Neodiprion lecontei: one gene and its partner. The main gene of each other region encodes a partner of the protein of the gene in region 2 in a complex. Links are inferred from orthologs where the notes say so. Each region holds a gene or a part of one and is shown on either strand. Other genes may lie near its edges.

The links.
Region 1: ribosome biogenesis protein BOP1 homolog (region 2) and pescadillo homolog share a complex: the UniProt entries of both Homo sapiens proteins name them as parts of the peBoW complex. The link is inferred for Neodiprion lecontei from reciprocal best matches to the Homo sapiens genes BOP1 and PES1.

Annotation. Positions count from the first base shown.
Region 1 is NC_060262.1:23,168,428-23,185,170, forward strand, and holds pescadillo homolog, read right to left. Parts: upstream 9,103-16,743; 5' UTR 8,966-9,102; coding exon 8,942-8,965; intron 8,830-8,941; coding exon 8,596-8,829; intron 8,494-8,595; coding exon 7,986-8,493; intron 6,279-7,985; coding exon 6,142-6,278; intron 6,046-6,141; coding exon 5,786-6,045; intron 5,244-5,785; coding exon 5,056-5,243; intron 4,988-5,055; exon of another isoform or gene 4,969-4,987; coding exon 4,781-4,968; intron 4,608-4,780; coding exon 4,344-4,607; 3' UTR 3,658-4,343; downstream 1-3,657. Other genes in the region: protein pelota, read right to left, coding at 11,498-11,601, 12,209-12,315, 12,376-12,568, 13,617-13,839, 15,232-15,372, 15,832-15,945. UniProt on the Homo sapiens protein: Component of the PeBoW complex, which is required for maturation of 28S and 5.8S ribosomal RNAs and formation of the 60S ribosome.
Region 2 is NC_060260.1:39,232,109-39,247,174, forward strand, and holds ribosome biogenesis protein BOP1 homolog, read right to left. Parts: upstream 9,885-15,066; 5' UTR 9,676-9,884; coding exon 9,547-9,675; intron 9,370-9,546; coding exon 8,539-9,369; intron 8,446-8,538; coding exon 7,767-8,445; intron 7,663-7,766; coding exon 7,453-7,662; intron 7,367-7,452; coding exon 7,089-7,366; intron 7,011-7,088; coding exon 6,911-7,010; intron 6,825-6,910; coding exon 6,629-6,824; intron 6,552-6,628; coding exon 6,398-6,551; 3' UTR 6,318-6,397; downstream 1-6,317. Other genes in the region: uncharacterized protein LOC107218625, read left to right, coding at 2,862-2,950, 3,146-3,472, 3,581-5,114; glucose dehydrogenase [FAD, quinone], read left to right, coding at 12,958-13,204, 13,474-13,602, 13,681-14,237. UniProt on the Homo sapiens protein: Component of the PeBoW complex, which is required for maturation of 28S and 5.8S ribosomal RNAs and formation of the 60S ribosome.

The DNA of each region.
Region 1 (16,743 bases), on a different chromosome or scaffold from region 2:
TTCCTTCTTTTGATACCCTTGTCGCCATTCACCCGGTCGATTACAAAACGCTCCAATTTCGTCGTTACTGCGAATTTCTTTGTAAAATATCCAGGGTAGATACTCAAAGGACAGTAATTTCAATTGAGCATCTTTTTAAATCGATTAGTTTGACCTAGCCATGTATATGTAACCCCTTAAAATTATCACTGTGAAAATATTGAGAAAAAACAAATTTCGAACCATGTTTTCACTGTATCAACTCCAAGGATTATTTCAAGTCTCATATAATAAGATGTCACAAATTTTTTGAAAAGTTTTTCCTGAATGATATAAACAGCAGTGTGTATGGAACTTTCTGAATATCTTAGACGTTCTATAATCTCGTTTTCTGCTGAACTCTAACGGTTTGTACTATTTGATTTTAATTAAAAACACTATTTTTAATAACAAAAATAACACCAGAATATTAGAAAATATTCTGAAATTGTAGCTACAGCTAAGTCGTACCGGTTTATTACAGTTCGTCGAAAGTACTTTCTGTCTGATGTTACCCGTAGGCGTAATAAAAAATTGTGAAACAGGTTTTTCAGAATAATATTGTGTGCTTACATATTCTGAAAACTCATTGTAAGAATCTAAGAAAACATATAGATTCGAATAAATTTTTAATCTTCACGTTCGAAATAATTAATTTATTTATTGTTGAAATAGAAATGCTTTTGTATCAGTTTACAAAACGGATGTACAAGAAATGGGAAGCAGAGATCCACTGTTATATTTCATTCAGAAGCATTTGAAATAGCTGATAAGGTATAGATATTACACCACTCACCAGGATAACCAAACGTAAGAATATGAGTCATAAAGCCAGAGATTCGAATGAATCATTCAATGATGCTTTCAATCTAATAGCAAAAAACAGTTCACATGAAAAATCAATAAAGCATCGATGCTCTGACATACAGTTGCAATCGTCATCCACTTTTCATTCTTAACTGGGTCAGACACTCTCAAGACAGGAGGTTTCTTAATTAAAGAAACACGTGATTAATATGTCATTGGTATATGAAAATGATCTAAATGCATATAATCTATAGATTTAATTCAATAATTTTCATTATCATTTTTCCTCTTAATAATATTATACGCAATTTTGAGTAAATACGTGAATAATTAATTATTTTTGAAACATTAGTTGTCTTATCTATTCGCATTGCGTGTATGATTTGGTCGTTATTACTTTTAAGGAAAGTGTTCGTATCAAATCGGATGTCAAAACAACTACGCAATGGTCTTGTAACTTGCGCGATTCGTTGGTCGTAAAAATGGGACAACTTAAACTTTTGAAATATTGAGACAAAGAATTAGATTTTATATATTTGCCACTACCAAAAAATCTTGAAAGATGTAGCTCAATTAGTATGTCTCATACAATTGTCTCTTTTCTTTCCCACAGCTTTCATAAAAATGACTACAACTTCGAATATCCTGAAGCAGCGCAAAAATGGCGCAACGGCTCTTCGCTTATTTGTGATATTCGATGTGGATATATTTCCAGTTCTCCCACCGGAAACCCACGCTCCAAAGTCGTACGACCCCGGGTCTCTGCCCGATCTTGCTTTTGCTTTTACGCTTCCAGCATTTCCCCCGAAGGAGTTGGAAGGTCAGACGTCCCACGCGCCTGGCCCACGTGAAAGTATGACCGTACAACGCTTTGGCACGTTATTATCGTTACAGACTCCGCGGAAAGCCGCTCACACTGTAGTTTTAAATACATCAGAAAATACAGGGTGTTCCGACACATTTTTTGTAATTTAAAAATCACGGTGTTAAGGTCGCTGATCTCGAATCTGGTTGAAAATTTGGGAGATCAAAATGGCGAATCCACATAGCGGAAGAATTCGCAATTAGTGATTTCGTTTGGACGAAATTTGGTACCCGGTGGGATTTCGAGGTCGCCGATTACGAATATTAATTGAATGATCAAAAATTCGGTATGCCCGACTCTTTGATACCGCTACTGTTTGGCATTTCAATTTCGAATGAAATATAAATGGATGATCAGAAAGGGATAAATTCATATGATACATCTAATATGATTATGAAAATCATTTCAAATACAGCAATGGGAAAAATTTGAAACTTTGGCCATATGATAGAGACCAGATTCTCTACTTCTAATAAAAATTTGAACCACGCAAAGCGTTTGGTTAAATGAAAAAGTGTGTTTATCTCATTTTGATCGCCCACTCAATTATAGTAATCAAATAGGAATGTCGCATTCACTATTTTCCTCAAACGTTCGGGCAATATTACGTTTGAAATATTATGAGGAAGAAACAATTATACCTACACAACATTCCTGGAATGTGAATCAAATGCTATATTATGTGTAGGATTGTGAAAACCGATGAATATCGTTTGTCTCCAAAGCACGGTTCTCGGAGAACTAAAATAAGATATCCTTGAACGCATATATAGGTATAAGCAAACCGCGTGCAAAAAAGGAGCGGAAAAAAGTTATTAGTAATATTGCACTCGTTTACAAGAGATTAATTAAAGTCTTACTTGTGACATATTAATACTTCTCACAGCGAATACTCTCATAGTGGTCCTGGAATTTTTATGTCCAGTGAAATGTTATCATAAAATAGGATATTGTGAATCAAATTGAATTGAAACGATCACATGATTTTCCAGATGATAAAATGAAAAAATTCTAAATTTGTAAGAGTAGGAAAAGACCAGTGAAGATCGACTTATTGTAAAGACCCAAATTCGGACCTTTCAATTATAATTGGATTCAGTTCTGCGCTTAGTGTGACTTGAAGGGTGAACCCGTGAAATTTGAATTGACTAATGCTATCGATATTCGCAATTCATAAAATTCTGCTGAATCGTACTGCTAGCGTTTCCGAATTTCTCTGAATATCCCTTACAGTATTTTCCATTTCAGGAGTATGTAGCCGAATTTTTTTCCGAATCACGCTGAAAATATTCAACTTCCTAATAAATATAAAAAATTGAGGCTTCTATATAATTACATAATTTATGTAATGTATGAGAATCGTAAATACGCAATTCATTGGAATAAAATATGCGATTTCATAGCATTTTTGGAGAATTATAAGTAAGTGCGAACTGTAAAGTTGTTTGAATATATTCATTACTCAGGCTGCCTTGACGGCTCATGCTGCAAACTTCACACTTATTGAAAAGTGTGCTATTTCTGACAAGTGTGAAGTTTGCAGCGTGAGCCGAAGGCGAGTGCTACGTTCACGCGAATACGAATGTTGCATCGTACGAATACTAGTGTGATAATCACTCGAGTCGAATATCCCCCATCCGCCCGCTATTTTTCCAATACCTGTAAAGGAAAGTTTGATTTGAGAAGCAACGAAGGTGCCACTGAAATTTGGGTTATCCTGTAATTAATATAGACCCTTCTTAATGCGGAGCAAAACGGGTCTTTGAAATTAATTGGTAAGACTCTGAATACCGAACTAATACGTGTAGATTTCTCAAGCGTCTAAATCCATGTGTTATAAAAGAATTCTTAAACAAACGAATGAAGAACTCGCTATTTTGAATTCAGTCTGTATTTTGCAAATTTATTGTATCATCTGTGTACAGTAATATTCATTAATGCCTTGGGCTGCCGGCTAATTTGTTTTCGGTCCAAAACAAAATGCGTGCTCGGTTATGTGACAATGACCGGCGATGCAGCCAAAGTGAGAGATTGGGAATCATTGTCACACAATTCGTGTAGAATCGAGCCTGCATTTTTTTTCGGACGGAAAATAAGTTAGCCGAAATCCCAAAGCATTAATGAAAATTACTGTATAATGAACAGAATAGTATTCGCCCAAAAGCAATATTAGCAACAAAGTTTTTATTTCGTTTACGTATTTAAAAAAATCGAGCACCAATTTTCTAACGCCTGATAAATTGCAACTCTATTAATTTACCTTTTATTATTACGATAGAATTACATCCATATTATTTTACCAATTCTTTCGCAGCAAAGTCCAACTCCTCAAGTAGAATCAACATCATAAAAGTATTTGAGGGATGGCTGATTCGCTTCACGTGACAGATCTAATCTTCTCATCATTACAGTGCAATTCATAAAAATCTTTATTTTAGCTATCATGAAGCATTACATACATATATCGTATCGTTATGTACTAAACACACGATACACATACGTATATGTAAACACATGAAACAACTGCATACAGTTCGAGTTTAAGTGTGAACATGTAATTAAATTCCGGTAACACTATAATAGCTAATTTGGATAATTGTAGTTATTGCCGTTTTCTCTTCACAATAAGACGTATGGATATTTCCGATCGAATTCATGCCGTATTTTTAATTTTCCCCTCTTTTCGCATCTGTTTACGTTTCTCTTTTTCTGTAGAATCGTGGATGCGTCGTTTTTTCCTAAGTAGCCAAATCTCTTTTGCTCTGTCCTCTTTTCCTTGCATCATACTCTTGTACAAATTCCTATGTTTCTTTTTTATCATTTTCTCCCTGAGACGGTATTCCTGTTTCTCAATACGATTCTTCTCCCATGGATTTTCCCTGGTCAATTGACCCTGTTGCACCACCATTCCCTTTTTCTGCGAAAGAATCAATATTCGTATTGCACTAGAATTACCTTCCTATCATTGTAGGAAATTTCCCAGAAAATTTTCTAGTACCATCATCTGAGATATACATTCAAACATCACTGCAATTTTAATGCGAAAAGAAATTCGCGGGAATAGTTTTAATACGCTCCTTTGCACATTACCTTTTTCAATCTCTCTTGCTCTGATTCGCTGTCATTCGTTTTTGTTACTGTGATTTCAGGTTCCTCCTCTGAGATATCATTCTCTGTGGCCTCTGCACTTTCACCTTCAAGAATCGTTTCCGCTTGTTCTATCTCTGGTTGATCATCTCCTTCCTCTTCTGCTTCCGATTCTTCGCTGTCATCTTTAGCTTCGATAAAAGTTTACAAGTAAGTACCATATATGACTGTGATATGCGCTGAGCCTTGAGAGAATTCTGATTTTTCATTTTATTTACCTGTTTTCACTTTAAATTCTGGGTCGAGTAAAGCGCGTTGTTCGGGCGGGATATATGTTTGATCTCGCAGCATGTCTGTAAATGGTGAAAGATGCGGAGGAAGCACACTACCCATCAAATAATTCTCGACGGGTAAAAGTTGTCTAGCATTTACAGAATCAAACACCCATTGCGGTTGAATGTAGTACCTAAAAATTTTTTGTCATTGGTATATAGAATGTTTTATTTTGTATATATTTCTACTGTAAATTTCGCCTATTAAGCTGTAATTTGCACTGCATATCGAAACTTTCAATGCCGGATTAACACCTCATACGGAGTGCGACAGTGTAAGTAGCAGTCAAGATGCACACCAGTTAGTACAAAAAAATTAGTTTTCAAATTCACAAACCTATTCACTAATTTTTTAAAGAACTTATCAATACCTTGAAATTCATATGTAAACCTTTCTACATTTCTAAACTATCTTCCCAAGCATATAATCAACAATTGAAAAATTTATGATGGTATGTATGGATATTTTTTTTTTGAAAGCTCTGACAATTGCAACGTGGATTTGTAAAACATTGATTTTCTCAGTATCATTATCAAGAGTGTTACAATTTACTAGACAAAATGCATGGCAAATAACTCAATCAAATAAGAGATGTAAATTGTATGTATACAACTTTTATTGACTTTATTTTTTCATAAGCGTGTTATCTTTCTGACGAACTTTATTTAATTTTACCTGGAGATATATTGCTTTGTCATGCTTGGCCTGTCCACAATTTGATGCGTAATACTTTCATTACTTTCATCAAAGGTGGAACCTACGAATAGCATTTTATCCCAGGATACTTCTCCTCCAAAACACCTCAATACAAATACAAGGGGTTCTCTGGGGACTTCTCTGTTCACAAAGAATTTTAAACCTTTGAATAGGGTTTTTAGTTTCTTTACTTTTTCTACTTCAATTCTTGATAATTCAAGTTGAGAAGGGTCAGCTTCCTAAAACAAGTTTTGAATCAGAGATGATTTAATAACTGCAGTCCGTGTGTAAGTACGTATTCATTTACTTCACAGATGTATAATAAAGAAACGAACTGTCGGAAATTGATCCGTATCCAGCTCTTCTTCTGGTGCTGGAGTCGCATTGTTAACACTGGACAATGGCGAGTTCAGTGCAGCAATTCTTTCAGACACATATACTTCTTCATCCACTAATTTCGTATCGGTACTTCCTTTGAAAAAATCAGTAATTAATCGTTGAATTCAAATACTTATGCCAGAATTATGGGTCACCATAACAAACGAAGTGCTCAAGAGCGCATGATGCTAAGCAAAACTACAATTTTCTATCATGTACTTCAAACAAAAGATCTCAAATTAATTCTCCATTACTTTTTAAGATCGAGAACATTATAAAAGCACCCTCAGGCAAATTGGCTGCAATGCTTATTGATAATTTTTTTAACATGGATAGTATCCTCAAGATGATGAAACCGAACAGTTGGATAAAAGCAATTGTTCATGACTTTTAAGGGACACATAAAAATACTAAGACACCGAACGACGAACCTTGTTTATATAATAATAGTTTATTCACCAGGGTTATGAATTCTACTATCCTGCATTTCTTTGAAACCTCGTTTATACGTTTCTCACTTGTATGTCATTTCACTTGTGCATTAAATTCCTTCAGTCCCGGTAGTTTTTGCTTGCAGACCACATGTAAAATTTCACTCATAAGTAATTCATTTTGATATTTTTCACACCTATGTATCATTTATTCCGGTATAGAGCACTCTTTTCCCTTCACCCGAACATTAATTACAACTAATCTCTCATTACAAACTTGCGTTTTAATATTCTATGCGCCTATTGTAGGAATTTCTAATCGATAAAAAAACATGGAATAAATTTTATCACATAGATGCTACAATCGAAATACGATAGTTTGAGGATAAACAGCAATAAAAGCAAAACCTATCGCAATCATATTAGTGAGTGTAATAAAATTGGTGTTTCGGTTATAATACTTGTTGAAATTTTCCCAATTTTCTATTGTAACTCTTGCACAACTTTCGGTGTACGGATACGTTAATATAAGTCAAACTATCACATTTCTACTAAACTTTCTACAGTAAATTTTTGTCCGTGCGTTAATACAAACATAGAAGCATCATAATTGTCATATCCCTTCGCAAACGTATAAACGAGGTTTTACTGTATTACCAAATATGCCACTTTCACTGCTTTTACCTCGTTTTATCGATTCCCAGAATCTTACTCCCATTCCATTTATATGGTTTCTTATTCTGAAAGTGCTACGACAATAAATGTTAAGCTATACTGGTGTTCATCATTTGGATTTTAAGCTTTACACGTGGACATAGCACAATTCATGTTTCATTTTGATCTACTTGTACCTTTTCTACAACAATTTCAAAGGTTTGAAGGTAACTGCAGCAATGGAAAGTTTTATAGTTTTTATACAGGGCCAAAGGTGCTACAAGTTTAACTGTTCAAAACACGCCATGGGTACAATAGAAGTATGAGAATTGTCACGCAGGAACCAGCATTTTAATAAGCTTGATCTTCGAAACATTAATGTGGCGATGCATTTCCATGATAAATCAGTATTTCACAATTTTAGGAGTATCTGAGATTCACTAAATCATATGGAAGCAAAACATACTCATGTTTTGTAGACTTAAATACCTTCAAAGCAAGTCTAAGGCTGCAAAATAATAAAATATTTTCCCATATTCGATTACTTTAACGTTACTAACTTTAATGTCTTAAATTTTGATTCACTGTTACGGTAAGTTTAATTGGAATAAACTTTCCTTAATGAGTGACCTCTCCTTGTTAGTTACAGGACAGTCATAAAAAATAATGCGTTTCTTTGTGTTATTTAAATATTAGTTTACATTATCAATTCTTACCTGGACTGTTGAATTTTGGTGGATAAAACATGTTCAAATCATGATATAGCTTGAAGTTGACGAAACCCAACATAACAACGTAAAACTCAACGAACGTTGACATCACTTTGAAGTCGACTTCATTTTTGGACTGTGGTTCAAAAGAAAAGTGGTGTGGCACTATCCATGTGATTGTTTGCCCCTTGATTTCAGCTTGGTAGTAAAAGCCTTTGATCGAAACGAAAACCTTTCGAAGTGCTTTAGCTGCTATAACAGCATGCAAAAACTCGACGGTTAATCTCCTGCATAAAAGTGAGTGCTCACGTGGCACGTGAGCTATAGAAGGAAATGTGCTGAACAAGAAACATAGCGTGAGACAATCATCAAGATCTCTCAATGCATCTATGAATGTTGGGTAACGTTCTTTTACAATGTGATCTAGCTTCAGCTGCGGATGATTATTTAAATACCGTCTCAAAGCACCGAATTCCTTCATTGCTTTAGCTCGGCCAACTTTTCGGTTGAATATCTGTAAGAAGAATTAATCAAGATTATGAAACAAATAAAAAAGTACTCAAACACTTGCCATGTAATGCAGCGACCCGGTATATAGGGTGATAATTTCACTTACCTTAAATTCTCGAAATTTCCATATTATAGGCTCGTGCATGAGGAATTGTATGTCTTTTTTGTGGTATAAGGTTTTAATACTTGTATCTCCATGTTGGGCTCGCTTCCTGTTACGAGGTTCCCGGGGATAAATTCCTTTCAATATGCATAGTTTCCGAAAGTCTTTCAATGAAAGCTGAAGTTTCTTTAGAGCTGATCTCCGTGATAAAAACTGAGCACCCTCACCGGATTGGTACTGTGAAAAGCATCAGACAAGCATGGAGAAATAACCTCAAAAATGTTAAGCGTTAGAAAAGGAGGTAAGATGTACGTTTTCGAGATTAAATTTGTGTGATTTATATATCTACCTTTTTCTTTCCTATTACGACCATTCTCTCAACGATCTGTTGTTTTCAATGGTTAATATTTCCTCATAAAAAAGATCCAATTCTTGTATTGACACACTTCACACGTGCCAATACGAGCAACTTGTTATCTCTCGCTACTCCCGTGCTTGACTCCCGTGTATCGAAACTGTTGCCGAATTCGTGCGTCACACTGCGCGCTGCTTCAATGTACTAACGATAAACTTCGAATGGCAGAGTTTTCAAATCTCTGAATCAATGTGTTTAAATAGGGGTTGAGAATACAAGTGGTATGATCAGTTTGATCCTTTTTTCAGGACGAACTGACACCACTTGTAAACGACTTGTATTCATCATCGCTTTGAATAAATTTAATCAGTTACTTAGAATTTAAAAATATTTCATTTATTGTCAAATAAAGTACAGTTGAATTAAAAAGATGGACTAAAAGCAGAAAGCAAAAACTCTGGTCAGTTTGTGGTGCAAGTATAAAAATCTTAAGTGAATCTAAAATACAAGTAACGCAATAGTTATCAACGAAATACAGGTAATGGTAATTAAGTCAAAATTACAAATAAAATTATAATGCAGAAATACAAATTATATACAATTTATACAAAGAGAAAGAAGTCGGATAGTGAATTTATCAAGATTTTACAATGTTTGTTAACTGACACGTATTCTTTACTGTAAAATTGATTTGAAGTGTTTTTCGCGATGTATCCGTGCTTGTCTAAAGAATTTATTAGTACTGCATCTTTATGATTTAAAATTTTACTTACAGCTGTACAGAATGTATTGATGTCTAGGGACATGGAAAATTGTTTAAAATTATTCTTTACTTTCAAGGCATGAGCAGAGCAACCAAGCCACCTGAGACATTTTTTTCATCCACTTTTGCTTTGAGGTTTTTTAACAAATTTCTTCTAAAACTAATCGATAGAAGCAGACTACGGATGATTTAATAAAATTTTTGGAAGGAAGTTAAACAATTGTTGCTAACGTACTTCAAAACATATATCTCTTCATCAAACACTTTACTTTCTAATTCTCCATGCAAATCTGGCAAAGGTTCCATTGCCAGGATGGTCGATTTGCACTCTGAACAGACTTGCAAAAATTTCAAAAGCCTGCGTGCTACATATCCTGCTATATAATCACACACAGTCTTTGTCACTATGGACTGTGGGACCTATCGTTGGATATTACTTTCATCGGGCAGGTGGAGCGCATCATCTAAGCAATCTACCGGTTCGTCATGGTTGTTATCGCTATGATCCTCCAATATGTGGACTAAATTGAGCAGTATACTTCCCTTGTCGTCTACACAGTTCGCACTCAATGAACGATGCGAATTGAAATTACTGACAAGGAGGGACTTGTATGTGCCAACAAATTGTCAACAAGTTGGATTCACGTTGTGGCAACCATGACTGCGACTAAAGCAAAGAATTTCTCCAAACAATCTTGGTTGATATTACGTGACAAAAAGTAATCTAATTCCTCTTTCTGATATGAAGCCTGTCAGAGTAATCGACCAATTCGATAGACAAGGAACACGCCATGAGGGTAGTAAAGTTACTCTGTGGACAAATTTCATATCTTGAAGCTTGTGTCTTACCTCCATTCAAAATCGTTTGTGGGAAGTACATACACATGGGAACTAAACACTTTCCATGCAAATGGCCCATGTGACTTCCTCCTAGGCGTTCTCTGGTTCCCCCTAAAAATCCCTAAATAACTCCTACCTGCTGTCAGGCCATTTTACCAGCCTCTAGACAGAAAATCAGTGCTGTAGGTGCTGTACTATTTGTATTACTTTTTTTTAAATTCATATACATACAGAGCTTTCCATTGTCAACTCGACCAATGATTTTACCTCACGATTTTTGATTCACTTTACGATTGTTTTCCTGATTCTTCAATCTCAATCATCCCTCAATTTTGTTCAGTTTTTACACCCGTTAATTTGTCAGGATTATTTTTATCAAATTTTATTGTCACGTCTTACAATTTGCACCACATCCTCTTGAAATATGTAATTTTTTTTTAAATAAAAAAAAAATTACCGAATCTGAACAGATCAGGTCCATCATTATGTTCATTATGAATACCCAAAGTTTTAATCGACTGAGCATGATAGAAAACACAAGTTCTCACTTATACTGAGTTCTGATAATAAGATCGTAAGAGCATGGACATAATTTCCGATATCCATGCTTGAGAGGTGAATTAATTTCAGTAAATTAGCTAAAGTCAAGGGGTGCGCTGACCTGTAATCGTTTTTACAAGACCTTGGTATTATTGACTATTTGAGCTTTTAATCGAGCTTGATCAATCAAGTCTTCAGATATGTACATTTCCCATTGTGGTTACCGATATTATATAAATTATTTATCAATTAAATGAATATGTATTAAATCTTTTATTCGCTACAACGTTGATTTAGTCATTTCGCGTACTTCACGAACGAAAATTATTAAATAATTTTTATTGTTTACAATTTCTTAATTAATAACCTATGTGAATATGTTTTGTCAATCATACTTTTAAATATAATTATTTCTCGTCTTCGTTTTCTGATTCGCTGTCTTCACTTTCATCTTCTAATTCGGTTATTGGAAACCGCAACAAAGCAGCCACTCCTGTCAGTTGATCTAATTCTGGAATGAGTTCAACATAATGTGAAATATTCACTAAAAAAAGGGAGAAAAAAACTTAAACGATAGTCAATGGCTTAGTGTAATAAAAATAAAACTACTGATACGAGTGATGATAAAATGTAAATGTAAGTCTTTGATGAAATAAAATGGTGGCTCTCGTATCCATAGGTTAATAAACAAATATAATACTAACTTAACGAAATAAATACAGTACTGCCTTGTTATAAGAGTGTTAGGGCGGTTAAGGGAATGGGATTCCACGAAATTCGGCGTTGGTACTTTCCCCCATTACTGCCAGGAGACCTCGGGAATCACTTATGTGTCAGCGTGTCGATGATCATCACCACTTCTCGTTCTAAGTGAATCACAGTTATATTTACAAATTTGATGTCTAAACACATATGATTCAACGCAATCGCTCGTTCGCTTATAAGGAGCACACCGCGTTATTAGACGTCAGGTATACAGGGAGAGTGGGGGAAGCTATAAGACTTGCTCAAGTGTAACGACGGGGAAATTCTCTTATGACAAGGACTCTTATGTCAAGGTAGTACTGTAATTTGATTTGGGCGTTACATTACACATTGTATTTACGGATCATACTCACGTTCACCAGATACATGCATGCTGGAAAAAATTTTGACATCACCACCGAACTCCCTGACACTGTCCACGAGGTTGACATATTGTTTCCGCGTCACAATATCTTGACATCTGTGGAGAAGATGAAATTATTATTCTTGAAACGAAAGTTCATTCTGCTTCAGCAATTACCTGAACAATTTGTCCGAAATTAATAAAGTCTCAATAGCCTGAGCCTCGTTAGCTTTTTCCACATGTCTCTTCCCATAAAATGCTCTGGCTGGTTCTGTTTGTAACAGCGTATAAAAAGCCTGTAATGCTCTCACTTCACCAGCCGCTTTTGTGTCAGCTACTCGACTTACGACTGCTGGGTCTGCCAGCACCTCTGTCAACAGTTTAACATTAATATAAACACTAGGGTATTGCACGAAAAAATAATTTGCCAATTTCCATTGGGGTGCCGCCTGAAAAGTTTGTTTAGATGAAAAGTGAAAAATAATCAATTAAGATATAATGATTTAACACTGAAACTGCCAAGGCAATCATGCTTAATATTTTCAGGTCCCAAACTTCCTCTTTTTGTCACACATCTCATTCCTAACACTTTTTGACTGAACTGTGAATTATTTCGGACTTTGTCTTCAATATCAAACTGTCCGAAATATTTTGCAAGAACACTGGACATTTATGGAAACTAGCTCATTGTATTTATTTTTTTTTATACTTCCAACTATTTTAATTATAACAACAGATTCAGTAATTTTTCTGGTAAATTCATTATTACAGAGTGTGAGTAGTATTTCTTGAACAACCTCAAAGTTCCACCTAGATTTACTTTTGAAATATCACTTTTGCGCAATAGAAACAATCTTGCCGTTACATGTTACGACACAAAAAAAATGTAAAATAATATTATACAGAAAAGGATCTACAGGACGTTTTACTATACGAAGTTTGCAAACTTGTGTTGGAGATGACAATGAAAAATCATCGATAATATGTTCCACGGTAGCGTTTTTCAGCAATCATTACATTCATCTTTACGTATTCAATTTCGACGCTTCTTAAGATAGTTCCCATTTGTATATTTCACATAAGATTCATATTTACGCACTTCTTTCTTTTGTAGTCGATGTATACGTGAAAGTTACATTTTGTATAATCAATTGAATACAGATATACTGTTTACATCATAAATAAACAATTCCTTTTCTTTTTCTTCGTGTTTTGAAACAAAAATTTTTTAGTACTGCGAGCAATTTAAATGTGGTTGTGAAATATTCCATCTTCAAATACCAGGCATACTATTAATAGGAAGTCCACTGTGTGGGGATCAATTCTAAAGATTGTTTTAGTTGTTGAAGGAGGTGTGCCAATCTTGGCAGTTTTAATGTTAAATACACATGAATACAATTTGATTTGGCATGTGGTACCTCTCAGTGAGTGCTTGAAGCCAGAACTAGCATGTACAAGCATGAACTTGGCCTTATTGTCTAGAATCACTTTATTATCTGTTCTCACTGCTTCTTGAATCATAAACTCCATGAATTGATTTTTAACAAAACCAGGACTGGCCAAGAGAATACACTTGACTACATCGAAATTGATATGTCGTAGGATTGCCTGCATGACGCTTTCATAAAAGCGAGCCAAACCCTGGAATTCCAATGATGAAAAAAGTTAAGCGAAATATCATATTTTAATGCAAAGTAAGGATAATTGCTACTACTGTTGAACAAAAGTTGATGTCTCATTACTTCAATGAGTGATTCTTCAACTCATGAAAACGTCAACCTCATTTACGCTAGACGAAAAATTTATTTTGGTCGATCAATTTTTGAATAGAGAATTTGTTAAATGTAATATCAAGCGAAAAAATGACACACTTTTCAGAAATCTTTTAAAACATATAACTTTCCAATTTTTTTGTAAGCGGACTAGACATTTTTTTGGTAAAGAAAGTTAAAACTTTGGATCTCAATAAACCGTTACTCTTGGTACTCTAAATTATTTATACAAAATTTTGCATACAATGAGGATGGCGTCACGAAAAGCAGAGTGTCAAGGACATCTTTATAGCTTTGATTACAACAGAGATCAGCACTGGATATTGTGCTGTGAGCAAATCACCGAATTTAAGTATTCTCATTAAATAATAGTTGTCCCTGCCAGTCTTGTTTTTTGCTCTTTCGGAAAACAATGTTCTGTAATGTTACTCTATGAAATGCCATATCCTGTGTCAGCATGTTTTATTTTACATATTATTCTCTCAATATACATTTCACCATGCTTTTACGTTACCGATATCACCATACCCATAGTAATCAAAACTATAAGAGACACCAGCTTGGCAAAAATCGCAACCACCTTTCCCACTACAAGTATATGGGGCAGTCCATATCATTTCAACCTAGGTCTGAACCTGGACCTCTCAGATTTTGAATGCACTCAATATTTTTTTTTAGATCTTTTGATACGGTTTTAATTTTCTACAATTTTTCAAAACCATGTTATTGATGGACACAATTTAAAAATTTGAAAAAATTCGGAAAATTCGTGTGTGTTAGAAATCAAAATTTTTAAGTTTAGGGCGTAAAAATTAAGCTTAGTGGGGAGATTTTTTCTTCCTACTGTTTTCAAGCTTTTTTCGAAAAAAAAATGTTGGAAAAATTAGACGTCATTTTATTATGGATGGTTACTGAAACATTTTCAGATTTTTGAAAAATTTTGCAGGTTTTTATGAGCCATTTTACCAGTTGAGATTTTGTTATTAGCAAAATAAAGAGAAAAAAAATCTGCTCTGAGCTGCAACATTTTGTTATCTGACACACGATTTTTCAGTTTTTTACATTGTGTTAATCAAGGCATGGTTTTGAAAAATTGTAGAAAATTCAAACCGTGTCGAAAAAATCTATAAAAAAACTGAGTGCATTTCAAATCTGGAAGTCAAGGTTCAGACTCAGGTCGAAATGGCATGGACTGCCCCTATACATTGTATACATAGACTCACACGTACTCTACTGCTGTCCATAAAGAGTGATAACAAACCTTTTCATGCTGTGATACGTTCCCTTTTCTTTTTCTTGGTATATTTTGATCTATTTTAGCTCTAACCAAAGTCATGTTAGAGGTAATAAGGCAAACATGAGCTATTCCATCTTGCATTATAACAGCAGCTAAATCAGCACTCTGAAAATATTCAGTAACTCATTTTTCAAAAAGCAAACAGCTTATCTGAGAGCTCATCCTTAGAGAAAAGATTTATTTTTTCAAGTATTAAGAAAGGATTTAGCCTCTGTTGAAGTTATGTATATTCTTAAACGTTTTTGTACGGGTTGAATTGAAACTCTACTAAAGCAGCTTTGAAAAAAATAAGAACTCTTCGATTCAGAAGTAAGTAATTTTCATGACTTAATTTATTTTTATAATTTGTTGCTAATTATGAACTATATCAGTTGTGCGTCTAATTTTGACAATTCCAAACATAACATATTTATAGCTAGTTTATTTAATTTTTATGTTCTGTTCAAGTTGAAACAAATTTCATGACAATATCATGCATTCATAATATTCAGAATGGGGGTACCATATCAATCAACAGACTTTTAATGAAAATCAATATTTTATATTGATTCTGTCATAAGTTACCTGAGTAGGGTCGCAAGCCGTGTCTACTCGTTCCAAGGAAATGGAATCCCACTCAGGCTTGTAAAGTGTGAATTTTCTATTCTGCTCCAGATCCAGCGTGTGATAAGCACCCATCTACATCCAAAAGTTAGAAAAATTTGTTTTACTCCATTTACATGCCTTTGATTTATGACATGTTTGCATCAGAGATATTACGCAAAACATAATTTTTTGTACACATTTATAAAACTAAGGTATAATCTAAGGTGAAAAGGAGGACCATTCCTCAGTTTTGCTACTTAACAATGAGACTGAATTTTGTAACGTTAGTGTAATGAAACATTGAAATAAAAATCACTATTTCGCAGCTTCAAAACATGAATTTGATGAATTGAATTCGCAAATGATCATGCTGTACTATAATTTAATGGGTTTTACACAACCGTAATTTTGCTGAATTTCAAGTATTTATAAAAATTCATCATTACAATAATGTTCCAAACTTTGACCTAAAAATTATAAAAATTTTTTCCATCATTTGATTCGTGTAAAATTAAGAAAGTAATTGGGAGTGATTGCAGCAGACCAAGGCAAATCTTTAAATTTTAGAAACCATACAAAGTTTGCTCCAAAATTTTTCAACCTTACAAAAAAATCAAATTTCTAATTAATTGCTCGTTTTCAGACCTTTCTTGGGTATTATACACACTGAAATCATTCTGGGAATCCACAATGGATTCCATAGAGTTTTCATCATAAACAACATGAAATACTACATATCTCATTTAACTACAATCGAAGTTGGGCTGTACCGTTCAAGTTGATTACACTTTTCTGTGTCTCGTTCATAAGATATGCTATTTTTGTTACACAGAAATTTTTTTTTACGGGAAGTGTATAAAATATAAAAAATTTGACGTAGAGTTCCATCGC
Region 2 (15,066 bases):
CTGCGTTTTCTGAGTTCCTGCCGGTCCAATTAGTCATAAAAGCGTCATACAAATCGAATCTGAGACCAAAAGTTTTTTGCCCAAAAAAAAAGTAAGGCTAACCCCTTTGTGTTTTTGGCTAAAATTTTCGCGATTTTGAAAAGTGCTGGAATCAATTCTTTGGCGCCCTATATCGACGTAATTTTGCAAGAAAAATCGATTGGGCGCAGTCGGAATACGCTGCGAGCAGCGGGTCAAAAGTTACAGCCAAAAAACCAGAACCTGAATTTTCGACATTTTTCAGCTGGTGCTCTTTCCATCGTAATTTCTGTGCTGTTGGTCCTACGCTCTTTTTGCTGCGTTTTCTGAGTTCCTGGTGGTCCAATTAGTCATAAAAGCGTCATACAAATCCAATCTGAGACCAAAAGTTTTTTGCCCAAAAAAAAAGAAAGGCTAACCCCTTTGTGTTTTTGGCTAAAATTTTCGCGATTTTGAAAAGTGCTGGAATCAATTCTTTGGCGCCCTATATCGACGTAATTTTGCAAGAAAAATCGATTGGGCGCAGTCGGAATACGCTGCGAGCAGCGGGTCAAAAGTTACAGCCAAAAAACCACAACCTGAATTTTCGACATTTTTCAGCTGGTGCTCTTTCCATCGTAATTTCTGTGCTGTTGGTCCTACGCTCTTTTTGCTACGTTTTCTGAGTTCCTGGTGGTCCAATTAGTCATAAAAGCGTCATACAAATCCAATCTGAGACCAAAAGTTTTTTGCCCAAAAAAAAAGAAAGGCTAACCCCTTTGTGTTTTTGGCTAAAATTTTCGCGATTTTGAAAAGTGCTGGAATCAATTCTTTGGCGCCCTATATCGACGTAATTTTGCAAGAAAAATCGATTGGGCGCAGTCGGAATACGCTGCGAGCAGCGGGTCAAAAGTTACAGCCAAAAAACCAGAACCTGAATTTTCGACATTTTTCAGCTGGTGCTCTTTCCATCGTAATTTCTGTGCTGTTGGTCCTACGCTCTTTTTGCTGCGTTTTCTGAGTTCCTGCCGGTCCAATTAGTCATAAAAGCGTCATACAAATCGAATCTGAGACCAAAAGTTTTTTGCCCAAAAAAAAAGGAAGGCTAACCCCTTTGTGTTTTTGGCGAAAATTTTCCCGATTTTGAAAAGTGCTGGAATCAATTCTTCGGCGCCCTATATCGACGTAATTTTGCAAGAAAAATCGATTGGGCGCAGTAGGAACACGCTGCGAGCAGCGGGTCAAAAGTTACAGCCAAAAAACCAGAACCCGAATTTTCGACATTTTTCAGCTGGTGCTCTTTCCATCGTAATTTCTGTGCTGTTGATCCTACGCTCTTTTTGCTGCGTTTTCTGAGTTCCTGGTGGTCCAATTAGTCATAAAAGCGTCACACAAATCCAATCTGAGACCAAAAGTTTTTTGCCCAAAAAAAAAGGAAGGCTAACCCCTTTGTGTTTTTGGCGAAAATTTTCCCGATTTTGAAAAGTGCTGGAATCAATTCTTCGGCGCCCTATATCGACGTAATTTTGCAAGAAAAATCGATTGGGCGCAGTAGGAACACGCTGCGAGCAGCGGGTCAAAAGTTACAGCCAAAAAACCAGAACCCGAATTTTCGACATTTTTCAGCTGGTGCTCTTTCCATCGTAATTTCTGTGCTGTTGATCCTACGCTCTTTTTGCTGCGTTTTCTGAGTTCCTGGTGGTCCAATTAGTCATAAAAGCGTCACACAAATCCAATCTGAGACCAAAAGTTTTTTGCCCAAAAAAAAAGGAAGGCTAACCCCTTTGTGTTTTTGGCGAAAATTTTCCCGATTTTGAAAAGTGCTGGAATCAATTCTTTGGCACCCTATGTCGACGTAATTTTGCAAGAAAAATCGATTGGGCGCAGTCGGAATACGCTGCGAGCAGCGGGTCAAAAGTTACAGCCAAAAAACCAGAACCTGAATTTTCGACATTTTTCAGCTGGTGCTCTTTCCATCGTAATTTCTGTGCTGTTGGTCCTACGCTCTTTTTGCTGCGTTTTCTGAGTTCCTGCCGGTCCAATTAGTCATAAAAGCGTCATACAAATCGAATCTGAGACCAAAAGTTTTTTGCCCAAAAAAAAAGGAAGGCTAACCCCTTTGTGTTTTTGGCGAAAATTTTCCCGATTTTGAAAAGTGCTGGAATCAATTCTTTGGCACCCTATGTCGACGTAATTTTGCAAGAAAAATCGATTGGGCGCAGTCGGAATACGCTGCGAGCAGCGGGTCAAAAGTTACAGCCAAAAAACCAGAACCTGAATTTTCGATATTTTTCAGCTGGTGCTCTTTCCATCGCAATTACTCTGCTGTTGGTCCTACGCTCTATTTGCTGCATTTTCTGAGTTCCTGGGGATCCAATTCGTCGGGAAAAGGTCACAAGAATCGATTCTGAGACAAAAGATTTTGGTGGTTTAAAAAAAGTGAGGCCAACCCCTTTGGATATTTCGTTGAAATCAGGACTAGTTTGAAAAATGTCGAAATCTATTTCTCTATACTGTATATTGACGTAAATTTGTGCGAGCAATCCATCGCACGCAGTCCGAATACGCCATCGTTTACTTTATCCTGCTTCTTCATTTTCTCCATTTCTCCACACTTCCTAGATTTTTCATTTCTTCGAATAAAAATGTAATCGGCATCCATTGACCTAAGTACGTGGGTTGCGACGCGCGGCATTTTGCCGTTCCGTCGGTACCTATTTTCATGAGCGCCTTTTCTAGCCGACGGCGTAGCGCTGTCGCGTCAAGTTGCAGTCGCGACATATAACACCCATGAAAATCCAGCCTTATCGTTTGAGACTGAGAACAGCTGTTCGCTGTCTTCCCGACCATCTCAGACTCCGATCATGGAAGGAAAATGTCAAAATTCCGATTTCGATGCAAAATGCTTGCTGGCGCAGTTGAATACGGCGAGAAAAGAGATAAACAATTTAAGGTAGGAATTATTCCCTCGCTGCGCTTTCCCGTTCTATTTACAATCGAACGCGTACGGCCGAGAGCTGCACATTTTGGCTCATGACGTGTGTGACATAACATAACCAAGAAACTCGCCGACAGCGACTTACGCAAATAACAAGTCAATGAATTTCTGATAGAACTGAAAATCCGAATTGGTTTCGTAATATTTCAGGCAACAGATACGTAATCTCCGTTACGTCCATGATAAAGACGTCGAGGGCATCAAACGCCTCGTAGGATCGCGAACAGCAGAGAAAAAGTCGTTCATGTCAAAACCAGACATTTCGAAAACACCCTTGCCAAGCACGAGCAACGAAGTAGATGAAGGTCTCAAGTTGAAGCCCATTGGAGTCGTGTCAACCTGGTTTCCCAACAAACGAGGGACGCCACGACAACCTGGAATATGTGATAAGGCACCAGGGAAATTAACACTTTTTAATTCTGTCTTTACCAATCCTGAACATGCCTTAGATGGCCTTCAAGACTTCTCACACATGTGGTAAGGATTGGTGAAACATTACTGTGCTAACAGTTTTCAATTTATTAAAAAAAATTAACGGTTTTTTTCTTATGCGTGTTTCATAATTTCTGTGATTTTTCTCTTTAGGATACTCTTCCACTTCCATAGGAACGAGTCAACTCATGTACGTGCTAAAGTAGCGCCACCCAGACTAAACGGAATACGAACCGGAGTATTTTCGACCAGATCACCGCACCGACCTTGTCCGATAGGCCTGAGCCTTGTTAAAATCATAAAAATAGTGAATTGCACTATTTTCTTCGAGGGCGTAGATATGGTGGATCAAACACCAGTGTTGGACATCAAACCTTACATACCGCAGTACGACAACCCGTTGTACGTTGAAAAGTACAGCAGTAGGGAATTGGAGAGAAGTGGTATTCTTGATAGGGAATCGCGAGGAAATATTGAGGAAAGGACAAATCTAAACTTGGATTCAAGTGAACGATTGAGCGGGCAAAATCTTGTTGCATCTGAAACGAGCAATGGCTTTAGAACTATGTTACACGAACCTCATTATGGTAGTACTGATGGTGCAGCGCACGGCACAGATATTTCTAGAGATGAGGAAATCGCACTCAGACTACAGGCGGAAGAGTTTGATGGACATTCGGAATTCGGTAACTACTTAGAAGCTAGAAACTGTTACCGACCAGTGGATAGGAATTTAGATATTGTCACAGGATTTGATAATAATAGAAGCGTCACACTTGGTACCAGCAACTTGGATGGGAACAGCGAGATGTCTAACGGGCTAAATACGGACCTGGGTTCATTTGACGAACGAGAATTATTGAGTCCAGAAATTTCTTTACAAAGTACTGTAGATTCTATGCAAAATTCCACACATAATTCCAGAAATGGTGGAATCGTCCCCAGAACTTTGGAATTGCACAATGAGAATACAGTGTTTAATATACAACATATCGACCTGAATCCTCAAGCTAATAGAACAATGTCCTTCAATTCGAGAAATGCTGAGGTCAACAATCCCATTGATCAAATATCGCGAAATACTAGGCTATTAGACGGTGCCGACGGAATAAGTACTGACTTAGATTTAATTGACCTGCGTGCAGCAAATTCGAGGCTTGATAATTCTCCAATTCGAATGGGTATTAGAGAAGCGCCTGATGGCGAAGAAGGTTTTACGTCGCAAACTTTGTCAAATATACAAGGAATGGCTGGATCCGCAGTTTCTCAGAATGCTGGGAATGGTCAGAACATTAGAATTGAAAGTAGAGGTCACATGAACTTGGGGCAGGAAGAAAATTCTTCTAATGTAAGGATACCAGATTGGATATCGAGATCGCGTGTTTCGGCGTTAACTGTAACATTTAATGAACGAGCTTTGGTACAGTTGAACGAAATTCTAGGAGACAAAGCGGACCAGCAGAAACATGCTATAGAAAATGTTTTATGTCAAGATCCTAGGTCAGTTTACTTGAGGCAACGTTGGGCCAATCAGTTCTACACATTTTTAATTCACGAATTACATATCAGCTGTAGATTTGACGATAACAGACATATTGTTACAGTTTTTCAAATTCGTCATGCGGGTAGGATGTGTGAATGTGGAGAGCCAGAGTGGCAGTGCTTAGGGCATTCCCCCCTTACGTAATAGCTTTTATATTTATGATGCAGAGTTTGTAACGTATATACTGCTCTTTAGTTTTAGCCATGTATAAACAAGCCCTGCTAATGTTGACTAGTGAATGTATCGCTCTATGCAGGCAATGTAGTCCAATTTGAAAATTATTGTACTTGTTGTACTAGAATTTCAAAAAGAAAATACACAGTAACAGAACATACCGTAACATTCATAGCTGTCCATTATAATAAAAGAAATTAATCAAATATCAGTTTGAATTAATGCTATATGTTTTGGTCTCGAAAGAAGTATGCTACAATGAATCGGATATGGACATTTCCGGATATACCCGATGATATGTGTGATGAAGAAATGAATATGCTTAAAATTGCAGTCGTAGATCAAATTCTACTTTGCATGCATGAACAAGTCCCAAATATATTAGGAAACCTGAATTTTGTATCAATAGATTATATGTTGTTTAATTATGTGTTACCAGGAAAATATGAAAAATATTTTCCTTCTATGTTATTACTTACATACAGGGGACTGAATTTTAATATTACGTTTTTGTATTTCATCAAAGTTTACGTTAAAGTACTCGTTCGGTAGTTCGAGGTGATATTGTATGAATTTTCAGTCAAATTCTACCATGTAGAATGGTTCGATTACAGATTTTTTTTAAGTGTAACCTCTTACCTTTATAATTTTAGTTTATATATGAAACCCTGGGATATATACGTATATTACCTATTATATTATTCAGGCAACTATGAAGTAATTTCTGCAATTAATTACGAGCCAAAAGTTCCTATAGGTTTACTTTAATGTGTTTGCACGTTATTCTTTTGTAACTACTTAATCAGTAGATAAGGTAATCTTAAAGTTTAGTAATAATGCACATGTTGTAATATCGGAAAAAGTGGTAAAAATGTTTTTCGTAATGAATATATGATTAATGCACTTCTAAAAATAATCTCAGATGATCCATAACAGTTTAATATAGCAATATCAAGCTTTTGTAGAAAACGTTAATCCGTTTTTAACGATGCGCCAAACAAATGGCTTCAGAAATAAATAACATTTTACAATGATACAAGTTATAATAAATAAATACAGTTACCGATCCATTCATTCCGTTCCACTTAAATTTCTAGGAATTCATAGCATCAAACATACATCATGGAAATTTGGGTAAACGGTCGAGGTCTAAAAAAATGCAATCAGTAGATAAATGTAGTAAAATATGTTTATTAGAACATAACGATACGGCCAGAAATTGAAACAACTTGTATGTCATACCCATAATTAAACTACGTGTATAAACGAATAGTTGCATCTGCACCAGCCGAAAATAGCCAAGGTTGTATTGGATGAAACATGACATCAAGAATACCAAAATCATTGTAAGTCTCATGATTGCACAGTCTTTTTAGCGGCACAATCAGTGGGTTTTGAAGAAGGTCGCTGTAAGGAACAAAAAAAAAAAAGAATAAGAAGTTGTTTCCTGTGGCTTAATAAAAACATAATACCGATTTACTTACTTGTACACCATTCCGTGTGATACAATCAGACCTTTGTCATCAGCTCCAGAGGCAAATAGTGGATAACGCTTGTGAAAGGCTACACCACGCACGGCTGTTCCATGCAATCGCAAAGTTTGATAGGGCTTTGTGCTCAAATCCAGATCGAACCAGAGCATCTTTCTATCATATGTGCCTACTAAGATGTTGTCGCCACCTGAACACACGAGCAATTTATTAGGAGAAGAACCAACGACGAATTTCACAAAGTTGCGGAGAAAAATATGAAACTGTGTTGATTACCAGGATGTATTGCCATTGTTGATATCCACATAGAATTAGACAGCAGTTTCTTGACCATCTCCTGCTTAACCAAGTCGTATATTCTAACATTCCGTTGTGTCTGAAAATTTGTTTAAATTACTTAATTGGAAAAGTGACTCAAACAATCACGAGCAGAAAGATCAATGTGGCAACTTACCGCGACAAATAAAAATGGTCTAATGGGATGGAACAAAACACATTGTACTAGTCCCTTGGACTTGCTGAATGGCAATTGCGAACGCCTCTTTGACAACTGATTTATTAGAACAGATCTGTTCTGCCCATCGGGCATAACGGTGGCTAGATAGTCACCCCTCGCATGCCAAGTCACCTGCTTCACAACTTTAAAGTGATTCAATATTACTCTGATACCATTTCGCCAATTTTCACCTTCGGCCTGTTCCCACTGAACTGCCGTCCTTACCCTCTCATTCACTGAAATACAAGTAAAAAGAATTTAGTACATTGGAAAGTAGTTTCCTGGATTCAGTTACAGTCACATATGCTAACAAATTTATTACCTATTACATCGCTTTGAGGTATGATTTCTAGAAGCTGGTCCGTTTTGCTTGTGATTAAGTGGTCCCCTACTCCAGGGTTGATTAACAAAACTTTCTGATCTGCAGCAACGGCTATCAGCGAAATTGCTTGATTTGGACACCATGCAACACTTCTTATAATGCCTCCACAAGGAACGGTCTTCACACATCTACCAGTTGCAATTTCCCATACTGAAAACATGTTCACTCATTCATTAATTCGCAGTTTTAATTTTTTTCCTTAATCTTTAATTACAATCGACCTACAATGAAAAAGTTTCGACAAAACAACTCACTTTTAAGCGTCATATCATCTCCGCCAGAAGCGATATACTGGCCTTTAGCTTCGGCAGTGAAGGATCTTATCATGTCAGTGTGCCCCTTAAAGACCATTGACATAGTAGTGGGAAATGGTTGTAAATCTTGAGGACTAGGTAGCTGTGGAACCAAGCTGGCTGGGTCAATGGTAAGCCTCATTTTCAAAGCCCTTGGACAAAGATACAAGTCCAAACATCTCTGAAACCGCTCTTTGATATATCTTGAATAAGCCGGGACTTCACGAAGTGAATTAAACTTCTGTGGAATGAAGTGAAGCTTCCTTTTCCATGGCGTGGACTTCAGCTTATTCCATTCCTTCATTTCTTTTTTGTCAAAGAGATACTCTGGCGGAGGATTATAGCTCTCTGCGTGACCAGGCAAATGCCTCTTTGGCGCCGGTATGTGCTTGTGAATCCTCCGCATCTCCTCAGCCTGATCGTCTGACTGCCACAGCATGTAAAAATCTTTGTTTTCCTTGTTCTTCTGTTTTTCCTTCTCCATTTCGACTGTTGACTTTATCCAACCCATTTTCAGAGCATGAACTAGCTTGGAAACTTTCTTTGCTTCCGACTTTGAAGGCAAGAATGATCGTTTGTGCTCCGGAAATTTACGCAATGGCGTTTTCATCACTTCGGACGTGAACCACTCGACCCAAGGCTGTAAAAGTAATGGGAAAATAAAGTTTCAAAACAAATTTCAGAGATATGTTGAAAGTATTAAATAGAATCTGGTAAGGAACAAATAACTTACTGTGTACTCGTCAAATTGAGCATCAGGTATCTTTTGCTTCTGGATTCTTGTTATGAGCTCTATGTCAGCTTCGCTGAGTACTACATCTTGTCCCGTCATGGGGTCTTTCACAGTTCTCCAAAAATCTGGATCCTCCATTCTCTTCAAAAAGTTATCCAGCTGATCTCCTTTCTCTGGTTTTAAAATTTTTTTACCGTCCCAGTCGTACCCGATGTGAGGATACTCGTTGTACCATTGCAAGGGGATATTCCCAATGGTATTTCGAATATCTTCTTCATCCGAACTGTCTTGTTCATATTCGTCGACATTACTAGTCAGTTTTTCAACTGCTGGGTCGCTTGTATTGCGACCACTATTCACAATACTTGATTTATTCTGTTTTACACCATAATCCAAATTTTTCTCACTATGATCGCTTAGTTTTACCACTTTTTTATTCACATTTCTAGCTGGCTTGTTACTTCCATTGCTTTCCTTATTAGACTTTACCAAAGATTTGTTATTTGTTTTAGGCTGCCGAACTTCTTCCTCTGACTGCTCGTTTCCAGATTCTGAACTGAATTTGTCTTTGGAATTGACAGACCCGTCACTCTCTGCTTCCGAATCTTCTTCGTCCTCCTCTTCTTCATTCACAGAATCATCATCCTTCTCGTACTCTTCAGAGTCAGATTCAAATTCTAGTTCCTCATCATCGTTATCAGAGCCAAAAACAATTGGATCATTCTCAGTATCAGAATCGACAACATCATTATTTCCTTCGACTTCGTCGTCTGTGCTGTCATCGTCCTCGTCGAGTTGATCGGTGGCTAGAAAATCCTCCGATCCTAAATCCTGGATACACGGAGTGTTATGTAGTGTACAATAAATTGCCAAAGAGAACCAGTGATGACAATAGATTTTTGCGTTACGATTACTGCTTCAATTTTTTATTGAAGCTCAAAGCTGACCCAACTCAACCTAACCTAGGATGTTTAATACATATTTAAATGATTCGATTATCTGTCTTACCGAATTCTCGTCCAAGTCGTCATCGTCTTCAAGTTCTTCGACATTCTCTACCCTTTCTTCTTCTTTATTTGATTTGTTCGGAATGATTGGGTCCTGCTTTCGCTTACCTGCCTTTTTCGGGGCACCCATCACTAGGCAGTGGCAAGTTGGAAGACAGCCGCTTTGGACAACCGCGTTGTTTTTTGAGGTTAGGTAGGACACGTGTTTGGCTTTTGCACTTCGATAGTTCGACTTGCGATACGCAAACTTTCCGCAATCGATATCTCGATTTACATTTCAAACCAGCAGACGCACGGATGCAGATACTTTAAAGCACGCTAAAGTTTAAGCTCTCACCCTACTCATCTCTGCTCTCACTTTAGAGAGTTTCATAAGTATGCTACTAATTTTTTCAACTTCTGAGAAATTGTTAAAATTTCTGAATCAATCTCTGCAGAGTTTTGCGGAATCAAACAAGGATGATGTTACGGGGTAGAATGCGTAGGCTCCGATGAGCGGTAATCGGAGCTTACTCCACGCCCAGCCAAGGTGTTCTTTGGCTATTATAGGGTCCGTTCACATCGACTATGCACTCGCGTGCTACTACTCCCAATGCAGGAAGCGAATGGAATAGAAAGGGATCGGTATTAAGGGAAGGTAAACGATTATAAGTATATGATTGTTTATTAGTAGTCAATGCAACGGAGTCGGTCGAGGGAAAAAGGTATGGTCTTGGTTTAGAGGGATAGGTGTCTTGCTTGAGCGCTAGGATGGATCTGCCTTGTTTTGCGGGATGTAGGAGGCAAGCTAGCCGCGAGTTACAGAAGAATCTGCTGACTCGCGGACGATAAGAGTAGACTACAGAGCGTAAGGTAACTAAGAGTGTGGGAAAGGAATATGAAGTCTGGGGGACGTAACAAGGATATCCAATCTTAATTTATTCTTACAATGTATATTGTTTCTGTTATACAATATAATAATTGAAATGTGTTAAATTGGATGTACTTTAAAACGTCTACCGCTCGACAGGCTACTAATATATTTCTCGTGAAAATCTTCGGCAGGTAATTAGAGCTGTTTACAATAAGGCCGTAAATCCTGCGCCCGAGTTGTAAACATTAGTTTTTCATGCGGTGGGTGGAAAATGCCCCACGAGATTACATAGAACTATGGAGAGAAAAAAAAACGCTATTTCATAAAACCCAATAACATAAAAATGATATTGAAGCATAGAATTGGGTGTGAGAGGGGTCAAGGGGCAAAATTCCCGCCAGGAAGTTGGGGCTAGAGTCTTCCCACTGAAATAAAAATAGACTGAAAAATCATGAGAAACATTAATTTGGATACGAGTTTCGATTTCACAACGCGGCCGGCAAATATGAAAAAAGACAGAATCTTGATGCTTCGCTTGCGTAAAAGTAACGGAATACACCGCGTGTATCGTACTTTTGTGCAGTATCGCTCTGAAAATACTTCCCAGACAGCACCAAAAGCTTTCCGTTAACTGTTCGCGAGCTCAGCCAGAAGCGCATGGGAAGTTCCCTGAAGTTCCCCACCGTAAAGCCTATGTCCCGAATCGCGAGCTTCCCTAGAGCGCCCCGGAATCTCCCCAGAAGCTTCTAATAATCTCAGCAGATGTTCTATGTAAGCTATTCTACAAAGTTTTAAGAATGCGTTGTCGGAACGTATAGATATCTCAACTGACAGCTGTACAAAAAAACTCAAAATTAATGTTCTTAACATTTTGAGATGGTGATAAGATCGCTGAATATGTAAATTGTTCTAATAACGCTCAAATGTACTCAAAGAGTGAAAAATTAGTATCTGTATCATTCGTATTTTAGACACAACAAATCGATGTTATGTTTCTGTCGATTTGTAGTATTGAAATGAAAAATAATTGTATTCAGATAAAAAAAATAAAGGTGAGAGGAGGCAGTGGATTTCACATGAAACATTCTCAACGAATGTTAAAAAATATATTACAAATAGGTAAAATTTATCAATAGTTCACAGAATTTTCAGAGGAACTCCATAAGAGAGAAACTGCAAACTATATAAACAGTGATTTTTTCTTCTGTACCAATTTTCGTTCTGTTCAGTGCATAAACTCGTTGTTCACAGTTACAGAGATTCAGATTGATTCTAAACCCTTTGATATCCCTAGTAATTTTACGACCACGGAGTAGTAGGAAGGAGACAACACTCGAGCAGCACTTGGCACAAAAGCTGGCCCAATTTTTGGGGCAACGTAAGAAGAATTGTCAAGGTGCGATTTAAGCGCCTATTGCGGTGTAAGCTCGTATAGCGCACTCACCCCCTTCGCCATATGATCTTACGATTCGCCGTTTGCAAACCTTTTCCTCGGATTTAATGTCGGTTGAGATTAGAAAAGCAATCACTCGGTTTTTACTGTTTTTTAGTCACTTCAGATGCGTATTTTACGAATTTACGGAATATGTTTATAAAACGGAGACTTATAGGTTACGATTGCCGCCTTTTTTTTTTTACATTTTATAACGAAAATTTCACTTTTTTCCGTAAAAGGCGCTCAAATCGCATTTAGACAATTCCTCTTACGTTACCTCAAAACTGGGGACAAGTTTTATCGCAGAGTCTTGTCTCCTTCCTACTACTCCGTGTTTAGAATCCACGGTTTTGTATCAGCACCGTTGACACTTCCAGCCGCGCGTCTTCAAGCTTTTCTCCACGTGCTATTTGCGGTGTGTTCCGATATAAGTCCCCAGTACTGTCAACAATCTTTTATTTTTTTTGCGCCACCAGGTTCGTTAGTAGCTCAGCCTATGTCCTAGGAAGTTTTTAGTGCTGTCAGACAATTTAGGAACGCACTCTTGGCATCAGGGGGTGGCTGGCAGTGCCAACTGTGCGCAACCAAAACTGCGGATCGTAAAATTACTAGGCATATCAAAAAGGTCAAAATCAATCTAAGCGTCTGTACAATCTGTAGTTGTTCATTTAATCAGGTGAAAATATGCCGTTCGTGCACAATATTGAGATTATACATCAAACAGTTAGAGGGCACAGCTGGCGCATTTGACTTTAGAAAACCCACTTGTCAATTGTGACGTATTTTCATTAATTTATGTTTATAAAAGAAAAAATATACAAAAACCTGAATAAGCACCGATATGGCACAAACAGAGCACTAATACCAATATTGTATTGTCACATAGGTCACAACCAATAACAGTGCGTCATATGACACTTATAAAATGACAGGGTGACGGTCAGTCCGGTTGAAGAATTCATCCATGAAATTTAAAATACTGCGGGATATTCGTAAGATAAGCGAGTTCTAGCAGAAAAAGTTCAATTACAACTTTTACTGTGATTTTAGTTGATTGATAATAGTTAGAAAAACGGGGTGACAGGGAAAGATATAATTGATGTCAATAACAGCTAATATTCAAGATGTATATCAATTTTCAACTTATCTTATTGTTATCTGTAACGATGACTCATCACCTAACTTTGGCACAAACATGTAACGAGAGGCAGCTACCAGGTCCCACTTTAGTAGACATGTGCGGTGAATCCGGTACGTTGATGTCTTTTCTGGACTCAGCCATACGAAAGAACGAAAAAATATCGGGAATATGCGAGCGCGTGACGCCCATCGAGACACCAGATCCCGAGTATGACTACATCGTAGCCGGCGGTACGTATGAAGCAATGGATGTCAAAAACGTTAGCAACATTGAAAAACAACAATCGCAATCGTGCGTGGATAATTCATACTGATACTTATTTCCGTCGGTAGTCGCGAAGAGGATTTCTTCATTGACTAGGGTGTCCGAGAACAGTTGAGAGATTTTTTGGACTGCGCAGATCATGTAAATCGCATGTGATACATTGTAAAGTTCCAAAATATCCTGAGAACTGAACAAGAAAGTGGTGAGTGCTGTTCAAAGCTGGTTCTTGTTTCAGGTGGTGCGGCAGGTTCCGTGGTGGCCGCGAGACTGAGCGAGATTTCGCACTGGAAAATATTGCTTCTCGAAGCTGGTGATGACGAACCTGCATCCGCACAAATTCCGGGTGCGGCCGTAATCATAGCTGGTACGTATTAGAGAAAGACTAATGAATTAAATTTATAAACATGCTACGAAAATAAATGAAATATCTGCCTCATGTAAGGTTCCAATTTGAGCTGGGGATACACAATCACGAACGAAAGGTACGCCTGCCTCTCAGAAAACGGTTCTTGTGAGTACGCCGCGGCGAAAGTTCTCGGTGGATGTACGGTGCACAACGGGATGGTATATTTGAGGGGCAATCCAACGGATTACAACAATTGGGCCGCTATGGGTAATGAGGGCTGGACATGGGATGAAGTGAAACCTTTCTTTCTCAAGGCGGAGGATAACGGTGAAATCGATAGAGTTGGAAGATTCTGGCACTCCACGGGGGGTCCACTATCCGTTGAGAGATTTCCCTATGAACCTCCTTTTGCCAATGCTATGCTTAAAGCAGCAGAAGAGGCAGGATTCCGCATTAGTCAAGATCTCAACGGAGACGTGTTGAGTGGTTTTGCAATGGCACAAACCACTAGTAAGAATGGAGTCAGACGTAGCAGCGCCGCATCGTATCTACGGCCCAGCAGGAACCGTGAGAATCTACACGTTTCCCTGAACTCGACTGTCACAAGAGTAATAATCGAGGACGGGAAGGCAGTCGGCGTCGAGTACTTCAAGGTAACGATCATCTTACTTACACCTTACACATCGTACTCACAGATATTCGAGTACCGATTGTGAGTCTTCATTCACGCGTGCTTGTATCATTGCTCTTACGTAGTAGCATCGGAGGACTGATGACATAGGCCCGCAAAAAAAGGTATTTTATGCTGGGGTTGAGAGCCTATAGCTCTTACGTATGACGGGCTGCTGAACACAAATCCGAGTTCAAAGTGGGCGTCGGTGAACTAATTCGGTCACTAGAGCCTAGTTGTTGAAGAATTAATTCGAAAAATGAGAACATTTAATTTTTTTCATCCAACGTTCATCTATATCTATACATAGTACAAATACGTCACATCCGACACTGAGAAAAGTTTCATTTTTTATAGTGACTAGAGAAATTCAGTCAACCAGGTATCGTTAAAAAAACTGTTTAAATATTGTTGGAATTACGAAAAACGAGGTACACGTAAACATTTTGCGCTACTGTCGATCCTTTTTTGGTAATTACAACGCAAAATCAGTTTCTTCGGTCTACTCTACGTTTTTAGTTAAATAAGGCTTTAACGTCAATTCACTGTCGCACGAGCATTAAATTTTCGCAACAGTTACAAGAAAATATAGTAACAGTGATCGTAATGAGAAAGAATAGTAACGGATACTAGACTTTCCGGTAACAGCTAGAAAACTCATTTTCATTTTCTACCTAAAACTATATTTCTCGATTCTAGTAAAAAATGAAAATAATTAAGGACTGAGCGGTAACCGGAACTAAAAATTTCTCTCGGTGAAGTGTCACTATCACCCAAAAGTCCGATCAACTCCAAAGTTCAACACCCCGATA